2 linked regions of the Drosophila melanogaster genome follow. The gene in region 2 interacts genetically with the main gene of each other region. Each region holds a gene or a part of one and is shown on either strand. Other genes may lie near its edges.

The links. Genes that interact genetically often act in the same process or in processes that back each other up.
Region 1: of p (region 2) and Rab32, changing one enhances a phenotype caused by changing the other (phenotypic enhancement), as found in Drosophila melanogaster (one study listed by BioGRID).

Annotation. Positions count from the first base shown.
Region 1 is NT_033778.4:9,177,322-9,183,059, forward strand, and holds Rab32 (Rab32), read right to left. Parts: upstream 3,978-5,738; 5' UTR 3,838-3,977; coding exon 2,428-3,837; intron 2,026-2,427; exon of another isoform or gene 1,905-2,025; coding exon 1,509-1,904; intron 1,429-1,508; coding exon 1,285-1,428; intron 1,224-1,284; coding exon 1,113-1,223; 3' UTR 543-1,112; downstream 1-542.
Region 2 is NT_033777.3:8,667,673-8,672,324, reverse strand, and holds the start of p (pink), read left to right. Parts: upstream 1-1,640; 5' UTR 1,641-1,825; intron 1,826-2,396; coding exon of another isoform or gene 2,397-2,500; exon of another isoform or gene 2,501-2,796; intron 2,797-3,150; exon of another isoform or gene 3,151-3,244; intron 3,245-3,619; exon of another isoform or gene 3,620-3,713; intron 3,714-4,116; exon of another isoform or gene 4,117-4,209; intron 4,210-4,288; exon of another isoform or gene 4,289-4,457; intron 4,458-4,552; exon of another isoform or gene 4,553-4,652. Other genes in the region: CG8036 (uncharacterized protein), read right to left, coding at 1-614, 2,397-2,500. UniProt on the Drosophila melanogaster protein: Has a role in the biogenesis of eye pigment granules. Eye pigment granules are specialized forms of late endosomes or lysosomes. Biogenesis of pigment granules in the eye requires molecular components required for protein delivery to lysosomes.

The sequences.
Region 1 (5,738 bases), on a different chromosome or scaffold from region 2:
TCGATAGTGGTCCCGTTCAGCAGCAATTGGTAAACGCATATTCACGGTATTCTCGGAGTATTTAAGTTTCAAGCTTAATTCACTTTTGAGTCAGGATGTTTGTTTGTGCCATAAAACATTTTATAAAACCAAATTGCAATTAAACCTGATTCCAGCTTTTTCCCAATTTTTCCCATACCAATTACCAGTTTATACGTTTCGCTTTTCATAACGATTAAATAATTGCTAATAATTTTATGTAGAATATGAACGCACGACACTTTTATCTGTATATCATTATTTTTAAGTTTAATATGTGATCACTAAACAATAAGGAATACCATAGTTGATAACTATCGATAGTTTGAATATTAAAAAAAAAGAAAAACATTGCCGGTTGGGGATACGATTTTTTACCGTTAAAAAAGGAAATGTAAAAACAAAGCTTTTATTCGTATTTATTTACAAAGACCAGTGATTCAATGAAGGCAAATACTAGTAGCATAACATTTTCATTGTATCACAAAAGCACTTACACAGAATTTATTCAGCCAATAAAACACGTCGTCTGAACTTAACTACCATTAAAAACTTTATTTCTGATTTCGCATTGCATTAAGCGTACGTATTGTTATCTAAATACAAATAATGATGGCAGAGTGTGTTTGCATACGAGAATAATAATTCCAAGATAAAACAATCTCGCCAGCAGAGGCAAATAAAACAAACAAAACAATAAGACGATTCGCATTTTACACAAATGTAGTATGCTATGATACGGATGCTGCACTACCTCCGGCTAATCCTCGCAACTAGGGCAATGATGGTGATAGTAATAATGTTTCGTATGCGTAGGTATGTTATGTGTCACCATATAAATTCTCAAAGTGACACGGATCCCGATGCCGGCGCAACATTGTGGACCCACAGACGGGGTGTTAAAGATAAAGACGGACGGGATGATACGGATGACACTAAGTCTTAGACAAATGTTACGTTAAAACCCTAAGCATAGTTATCGCTATCTTCTAACAACATGAACATGGAGTGGACGTAGGCACATGGCGTTTCTGTGTTGAAACTCGCTCTTAAACTGGGAATGGGAATAGGAGTCGCCGGACCTCGGTCCCAGGTCAGCAGGAACACTTGTTCTTGGCATCCGATCCGGTTGCATCGGCCGCGCTCAAGTTGAACTTGTCGCCATCGGCCAGATCGGCAGATATCAGCTTATCGTTGATGAGTATCTGTCGGGCGAGTGGAAGAAGATTAGCGGGGCTTTGGCTGGGCATTAGCAGCGATTATCACCTTATTCACGAGGGCACGAGCTGCCTCATCGATGTTGATATTCTCCTTGGCGGATGTCTCAAACCAACCGGCAAATCCGTTCTCCCTCACATACTCATCCATCTTCTCGGGCTGCGTTATGATGCCCTGCTTTTCCTGGTCGCACTGGAAAACGGATGAGCAACGTATTAATCACATAATATAGAAATTATGCGGTCTCCTTTAACCTTTAGGCAATCACTTACTTTATTGGCCAGCAGGATGCACGGAATGGGACTGCCGTCCGGCAGCTGCACCTTGGAGTCTAGATCTTCCTTCCACTTGCTCACGCAATCGAAAGTCCCACTGCGAGTCACATCAAAAACGATGAACGCGCCCACCGCCTCCTTGTAGTAGACACGGGTCATGTTGCCAAACCTCTCCTGACCGGCGATATCCCACAGCTGGAGGCGCACTATCGTATTGGCGTCCCACTGCAGCACTTTCAGGGCGAAGTCCACGCCGATGGTGGCCCTGTAGTTCTGGCTGAAGAACTGGTGCACATAGCGCTTAATGAAGGACGTCTTGCCGGTGCCCAGTTCACCAATGACTAGAATCTTGTACAGATGCTCGCGCTTATCGCTGGTGGATGTCATGATGGCCTGCAAGCAAGGATTGGATGAGAGTTACTTGTATGTTCGATCCATGCTTAATAGAATAGTTTGATAAATTTGATACACTAAACAATGAAATCCCACTTGTGACTTGAAATCTCAAGATAAAGAGATACATACTTTTGGGCTCTGGGTTTCAAGATACAAATATAAATAATCCGTGCATTTCGAATTATAATAAGTAGTAAAGTTTGTTCTATCATAGCACGTTTACACTCAGTTATATAAAAGCATATCAATATATAATATAGGAAGTGAGAATTCACCACTTTAATAAATTCTAAGCCTGGTATTAGTTACACCTTCTGCTGCTCGTCAATCCGCACTGAGATTTGCTGGTTAGTTGACGAGACCCCCTGGGCTATTACCACCGCCCGCCGCCCGCACAGTTGAATGACACTCTGGAACACACACTATAAGGGGGCCAACATATCACTTGTGGGGCTTCTTCGCTTCTTCGTAGGTAAATGACAACTGGCGAATTGGCAATCCGACGACGACGAGACCTTACCGGTTCCATTTCCTGATCCATGGTCAGGTCACCGAAGGCCGGCATGGGCTTGGCGTTCTCTGGCTCTGTGGTATCCGCCTGCTCCTCGCTATCGTCCTCGGATCCGGAGTCCTGGTTGGAGTATTCACTAGCCACCGACTGATAGTGCAGTGTTTCCCGCCTGCCCTCGATGCTGTCGTGGTCGCCGAGGATGAGCTGCTGCTGAGCGAAGCTGAGACGCCGGATGCTGGAGTCGCTGAGCTCTTCGTTGGAGTTGGGCTGTTGACTGGCGGCGGCGGCCAATGCGGCTTCGTAGGCACTCAAGGGACTCCTGACTGCACTGCCCACTTCAAAGCGGACAACGGGCGGGGGATTAGCAATAGTCTGGGCGCTTTCCGCCGAGGAGACTCCGTCCTCAGCCGCCGGAGGGGATGTGGATGGGTCCAGGGATTGCTGCCCTGATGGCTGGGGTTCCGTGTTCGCTAGTTCAGCCAGTGGTCTGGCGTTGAGGCGGTGGCCGCGCTGCTGCTGCTGCTGCATCAATTCCAGCTTCCTGCTGGATGCGCTCGAGGATTGGGACTTGCGAACAGCTCCGGTGCCGCTGGCTGACTGAACGCGACTTGGTTTTGCTGGCGCCCGTTCTCTGGGCGGCGTATCGCGCGTGCTCTCGGTGGTGGTGATAAGCGGCGACGGCGACGCCGATGGGGACTCTCTCTCGGGGCTCTGGGGCTTCTTCTTCGACACCAGCAGCTTGGTGGTGCGGGTGCTGCTGCTCGTATCTCTCGTGGTCACGGTGGTGGTAGTGGTTTTCTTTCTCGGTTTCCTTTCTTCTGCGGCGGGTGTCAGATAATCCGTGTCGCTCTTGGGTCTGCTCTTGCCGCTCTTCTTGGCGGGCGATGGCTCCACCTTCTTGCCACTGATGGTGATCTGCAGCGTGCTGCTGCCGGCGGAGGTGGGCGAACCGGGTGGCGATGGCAGGGGTGTTGTTTCCAGGTGCTCCACGCTGATGTCGTCGCTGGTCGCCAAGCTGTGGGGCCGCCCCTTCGGCGTTTTCCCACTTTTTCTCAGGCCTCCAAGAAGCAGGCGGCGCGTCAGGCTCTTTTTCTTGGTCTTGCCGAGGGCTCCACTGTCCGTGGAGATGGAGCTGGCCACGTCTTCGAGCTCGCCTGGGGTTTCCTGAGCCTCTTCCTCCGCGCTGCGTGTTTCCCTGTCGGTGCTTTTATCCAGCTCCCTTTCCCTTTTGGTTTTGGTCTTCGAGAGGCTTCGCAGAGCCGCAGTGAATCGGGAACGGCCCTTGATCTTCGCGGTGGCCTCCTCAGACTCGTCTTTCGGATCCCCGTCCCCCTCCTGGCGGTCACCCTTTTCCTCCGATTGCTCCGATTCCGCTCTCTTTGTAGCTGCTTTTCCCCGCTGCTCGTCCACGTTGGGCATATTTTCAACTGACGCTGTTGATCCCTAGCGATTCTACACAGATTCCATTTGCTCCAGCTTGATTTCCAGTCCTGATCCTGCACGATCCTCGAGCTTTTTTTTTTTAAGCAACCGTTGCCCAGACTAAACGAACGCGCACTAAAATCCCCAGTGCCGACGACTAGGCTTTTATAAATTTTGTATTCGCCCCGTTGGTCCCGCCCCCGCACCATCCCCTTTTGTGGTGAGAGGTTTAGCATTACAGTTACGAAAATCGCTATAGCTGGCCAGGTGCTTACCAACACTGGTTGCCGCCTCCAAATCGCTTGCGAAATGAGCGTGAGAAGAGCCGGTGGGCCTTTGAATGGGCCGATTGGACGGCTGGCACCCGCTTATCAAGCAATCCCCGGACAAAGATTGGCCAGTGTCCGGTGGCCCGCCATAATCGACGCCAGTTGTCCGGCTGGTTAGCCCTGCTCCGGAATCACTGGGCTCTATAATTTGGATCGAGGTAATGCATAATGCCATGATGCCGTGATGCTACGATGACGAGCACCCAATCATCCGGCACAACCAGTGGAGCAGGGCGCCCAGTGTCCATATCTGGACCTGACCTCTCCAAGCAACCCAGAACGTGCTCCGCCGCACTTGGCGGGCTTCCTTTAAGCTGAGGATTTGCCGCATCAACTTGTCCCAAAAGAGTCGCTCGGCATTAAGTGGGCGACACATCAATCTGGCGGATTGGCCGCTGTCTTGGCCGACTGTCGACTTACTGCTCGACGTGACTATATAGAATTACGCTTATTACAAAACGTGGTTAGCCGCAGTGCATCGAGCAGAGCGACAGGGAAGGAGATATGTGGCCCATATACGATTACCCAAGTAATAACCCGAAACGCAAACGGGATGGCACACATATGTATGTATGTATGTATGGATAGATCGTATCTTACAGATGTACGGAAGTTGCTTCAGATCTGACTTAATTAGATATTACAGTTCCTTATACAGGCACTTTGCTGCGGTTGCGATATCATTGAGCAGTGGGGTAGTTATCAATACTTTTAAAAATGTATAGTATTATTACCAAACACCCTTTTGAACTTATAGTTTGACTATAAATTAAATTAAAGAATAATTTATTGGTAAAAACAATATTTGCCTATATTTGATTAGCTTTATGCTTATCACTAGGGTTAGTAACCATTTCAGATTCCTTTAAAACAACCCATTTGCAATATTGCTAGATTACTACTTATCCATCCTGTTTTCTGAAAGCCGTTTTCTTTTGGAGCACTACATCATTGAAAGTGATTGTTCTTTGATGACTTATATTTTCCTATAAACTAATAGCTATTGGTTATTTAGACCAGGCATTAATCAATGCGATTGCACAGTAAAGTAAAGCGTTCTAAATGTAATTCACCATAAAGAGCGCTGTCTGTAGCCTAACCGATTTGCACATTCTGAAATCGGGGACAAGTCAACAGTCGAATCAGCTTACATAATTCATGGGAGATTACAGCAAACACATTTTCTCAAGCCTTAAAAATTCCAGTTACGGAGCAGAGGGCTTTTAAACCATAATGTGCCTTGGAAACCGAAAGCATTAGAAATTCACTTTCGCATAAATGTCGAACGTGGAAGAGTTCCTTTGTGCCCGCAGATGTTTACACGCAATCCAGCCGGAAAACAGAAAACAGAAGAGCTATGCGAAGCATTCGGCCTCCATCTGAAAGTCAGGCGCCTGCAAGTGCCCCCTGACGACCCCATTCCGAACAAAAGCCACACGGATGCCCCGATGTGGCGAAGTCCTGCACGGACTTCTTTTCCGTAAATCGGATACCGAATGGCAGTGGCTAGGAGCCCCCCACCCGCATCGGCCAGCAATCACGTGCAAGTGAGCTCAACAAGAGGAAGTG
Region 2 (4,652 bases):
TGGCGGTGGGCTTGTTCTTGGTGATTGCAGCACAATGGAAAGCCTTGCTCAATTCCTCGACATCATGACCATCGACAACGACGGCATTAAAGCCGAAGGCCTCCAGACGATCACGGTAAACATCCAGCTTATGCTGCAGGGAGGTGGCCTCCGACTGGCCCAAGCGGTTCACATCAAAGATCACGCAAAGGTTGTCCAGTTTATAGTGGCCGGCAAAGTGCAGCGACTCCCAGATGGAACCCTCGGCGGACTCACCATCACCCACCACCACGTAGGTGCGGTAGTCGGCCTTGTCGAAGTTCTTGCCCACATAGGCCATGCCAGCGCCGACGGCGACACCCTGTCCCAGGGATCCAGTGCCCACATCGATGAAGTTCAGACGAGGCGTCGGGTGACCCTCCAGATCGCTGTCGATCTTGCGCAGGTTGTTCAGATCCGCGATGGGGAAGAGACCAGCCTCAGCCCAGGCGGCATACAGAATGGGAGCAGCGTGTCCTTTGGACAGGATGAAGCGATCGCTGGAGGGATCGCGTGGGTGCTTCAGGTTCAGGCGCAGCTGCTGGAAGAACAGCACGGACATGATCTCAGCGATCGAGGCACATGATGTGGGATGGCTATAAAGAGGGAAAAGTAGGCAAAATATTAGATTGTGACAAGGCATTTCGTTTGCATGTAGTTCTAGGTTAAGGTAAGTGCCTAATGAATTATAGAAGTCGACCTCACGGTGGGTAAGTGAAGGCCGATCAACAAAGGAAAAGTGGAACTGAACACTGTGCATACTTGTTAAAAACGTTGTTTAATAAAAGAAATCCATTTGTCTATTGAAGCTTTTATTTAAACCCCCCCCCCCCCCTCTGTTCATATTTCAAATGAAGATTTCTCGAGTATCCAATTGCAATGTACATATAAATAAGATAAGATCCATTCTTGGAATTCAATGTTCCCATGCGATCGTGTTCCAAAAAAAATTGCTTTGAATCGCAGATCTGGCACAACTCCAACCGCAAAGAAAACACGCAACCCCAGACAAAATGGGGGGCTCGTCTTACCCCAGACATATAAATAAACTATAACGAGTACATGCATATGTATTTATTGGCGTTATATGGTGTGATATGTGTGTTTGTCGCGACGTGAGTCCATCGCAATTCCTCACCGGTTTCTGGGACCTTGAACTTTTCTGATCACCAAAAAACCTAAATAATAGCCTTAAAAACCAAATTCTTGGCTTCCACGATTGTGTTGCATGGCGATCTTTGTGAACGCACGTGCTTCTAGATAGTTCCGAAGTGCGTCCCCGTTTCCTGCAGCCATATCAAGAACTATTGAAGGTGATACGGAGTGTTAGCAGTGACCCGGCGCGCTTTTTTTTTTTTTATCAGTTTTCAGTGATTTTCGATTATCATGCGGGGAACACACTTGAGCTGGTCACCTCTAATCGGTCATATCGTGGTCAATGAGTAACCAAACCGGGCTTATCTCGTCGGCAGAGGTCACATTTAGAGCAAACAGAGCAGATCTTATCTTGAACCGTCACAAAAAAAAAAAAAAACGAAACAGAATGGAAAAACTAATGGAGGCGATAAAAGTGTTTTCCTTATCAGCATAGTAACTTTTTTATTTACTGTTGCAGTAATAATTTGATCGCGTCTATCCGAGATATAATTACATTAAAAGCCATACAGTCGTAAATCTCAAGTGTAGGGGATCATTCCATTACTATTCTCATCCCTCTCTTTCCAATTCCACTCCCGTCACAAGCTGTGCTTTCCAACACTTGTATGTACATATGTACATACGTATATTAAATGCCTCTGTTTGATATGTAAGTATGTTTGTTTTTACCCCATGTACATATGTATGTGCTTTCGGCGTTTTGAACGCCACGCACAAAACAAAAGCAAAAGAAATTAAAAGGCAGTAAGAAAAACCTAACGTTTCAAGGTTGTCTAAGGTCAAAAAATATTAGCTCACAATTTAAGGTAGGTGAACGCGGCTTATCACTGAGCACGCAGGCAGGGCAACAAATTCGCAAATTCACTAAAGCTACTGGACAACACGTGGGTTGGCAACTGAATCCCAGGAGGGGTCACTAAAGGAACCGGTCTTCCCATATTTTACTTCTCACATTCATACAAACATAGATGCATAACTATGTATATGCGTAACTATTTTTGTTTTATTTTCTTTTGTAATGTTTCAAAACACATACATATGTATGTATGTATTTAGCAGCCCCCTCAAAAACTTTTTCGCACCCACCCTGGAAATGGAGGGGGTCACCTTTGAAGCAACAAGTGCAAGGTGCACAACTTTTAAAATTCACATCTACACAAACAAATCTAAATACGCACACTTTAATATGCCTATGGACTTTCAGTTATTGATAAACTTACCCCGATTTGGAGGCCTGGGTGGCGTTGATAGAGTGAATTCGCAGTTTCTGGGCCAGATCTTTCAGATCCTGGACGGTCTTAGCTTCGGGCTTGTGGTACGACATCTTTGAAATGCGAATGTAAATTGGATCCGAACAAATGCGGTTTTTGATATGTTGCACAACAAAACTCGGGAGTTTCGGATTCGTTAGCCAAAGGGTGACTCCTCTATGTTTGCAATAGACAGACAAGAGTATCGACGTGGTGGATAAGTAGCTCGAGTCGGAGTTATCAACGGACCACTGCTGCCGGCTTCTGGGAACGAACTGCTCTCGTCGCCGGCACTTCGGTCGCTTTTACGCTGTGGGGGCTCAATCTTGGGAGCGGACTCGCAAAGTATCGGTATCGTCTATCGTCGGCGCTGGAACGAGATGGATATATGTATAAATATGGCATCTTTGCTCGCACACCACCCCTTTATCGGTGCACAGCTGTGGGTGGGTAACTAGTTAGTTTCAAATAGTGCATTGCTGCCTTTCTAAATTCATGCACAATTTTGGTCTAAAATTAAGCCATGAACAGTTGTACCTGAATATTTTCTCATTAAGATTTACAATGCTTTAGTATTTAATATAAGTTTACAAGAATTTAAGGTCCTATTTTTCTGGCCGCGAGTATTAAAGAGCAGCGGTGTTTAAGAGAAGTGCCCTCTCTTTTTGTCACTTTCCCCACCTCGCTCCTGAACAAAAGGTGAATTAGCCGCAAGCGAATTTAACCTTCGATAGCTCAGTTGGTAGAGCGGTGGACTGTAGTTGGAAAAACATGCAATAGAAATCCATAGGTCGCTGGTTCAAATCCGGCTCGAAGGATCGAAAAGATATAAATACCTTTTTTTTATATATTTTGTAGTGCACATACCTTTTTTTTTATATATTTTGTAGTGCACAATTTAAATCAATTTAATTCATCTACAGACATTCAGAATATAACTGAGCTGTTTAAACTAAATAATATAAGAAGGATTTTATTTGGAAGAAATAAACCGTAACTAAATTGATATAGTTTGTGAAAAGCGCCTAGGCTATTAGGCTTGGAAACTATAGGCTTACTGCAATGGACTGAATAGAGAAAGTTGATCAATTTTGTTTGACCTAAATAAGTAAAAATCAAAAATAAATAACCAAATACGGTGCATTTCGTTTGTGCGCATGCATAAAACGAACAACGGCCAAGTTTGAACTCAACCTTCGATAGCTCAGTTGGTAGAGCGGTGGACTGTAGTTGGAAAATTATGCAATAGAAATCCATAGGTCGCTGGTTCAAATCCGGCTCGAAGGATTTTTTGTAATTTTTTGTAATATCCAATTCGTTTTTGTTTTTATAGTAGCACCCGTACCCCATAAAAAATATATAAAATAGTATGCAATTATAAACATGTAGATGCAAAAGACATTTTATAAACACAATGTTATATAAAATGAATAATAATTTGAAGAATATCAATTTTAAAAACACGTGAAAATGAACATGTCTTACTTTACGCGTACATCAATATATTATTTAATTTTAGCTTAGCAACAATCAAAAGAAAAGGTATTTGAACGACATGGCATATGCTGTCCGTGACCTCAATCCATTAAAAGCTAAAATACGCATTAATTAAACCGATTACCAACAAAAGTTTATTGAAGAGTCGCGATGAATCGGATACCCGTTGTTTAACCTACTCCCCAGCACGCCCCCTTCGATAGCTCAGTTGGTAGAGCGGTGGACTGTAGTTGGAAAACATGCAATAGAAATCCATAGGTCGCTGGTTCAAATCCGGCTCGAAGGATTTTTTGTCGAATTTTTTACAAGCCATTTTTAATGCATTCTTGAATTCAGCTTAGTCAATCCTTTTCATTTCCACCTACCTTATCCTTATTAGCTTTTTTACCACACCTTAGCTAAGTTCGAGTAAATGTATCCACAAAAAATTTACGAGTGCAATGCGAAAGACTTTCAAATAATTTAGGATATCTACATATGTTTTGAATTATAGACTTTTGTTGGCCTAAAACCAAAAGCACAACTTGATTTTTATAATACAGATCTCTCCCCATCGTTAAAAAATCAAAACTTTCTTCGACTTGTGTTTTACTATTTAAAATTATACATTTTCATTCAATAATTTATTTATTTAATTTATTTATTTATGCGTACAAGTCGATATTTTTGTCACAAATACAAATAAATATGCAGATCCAAGTGTTAGAACGGACTTATGAATACCAACTT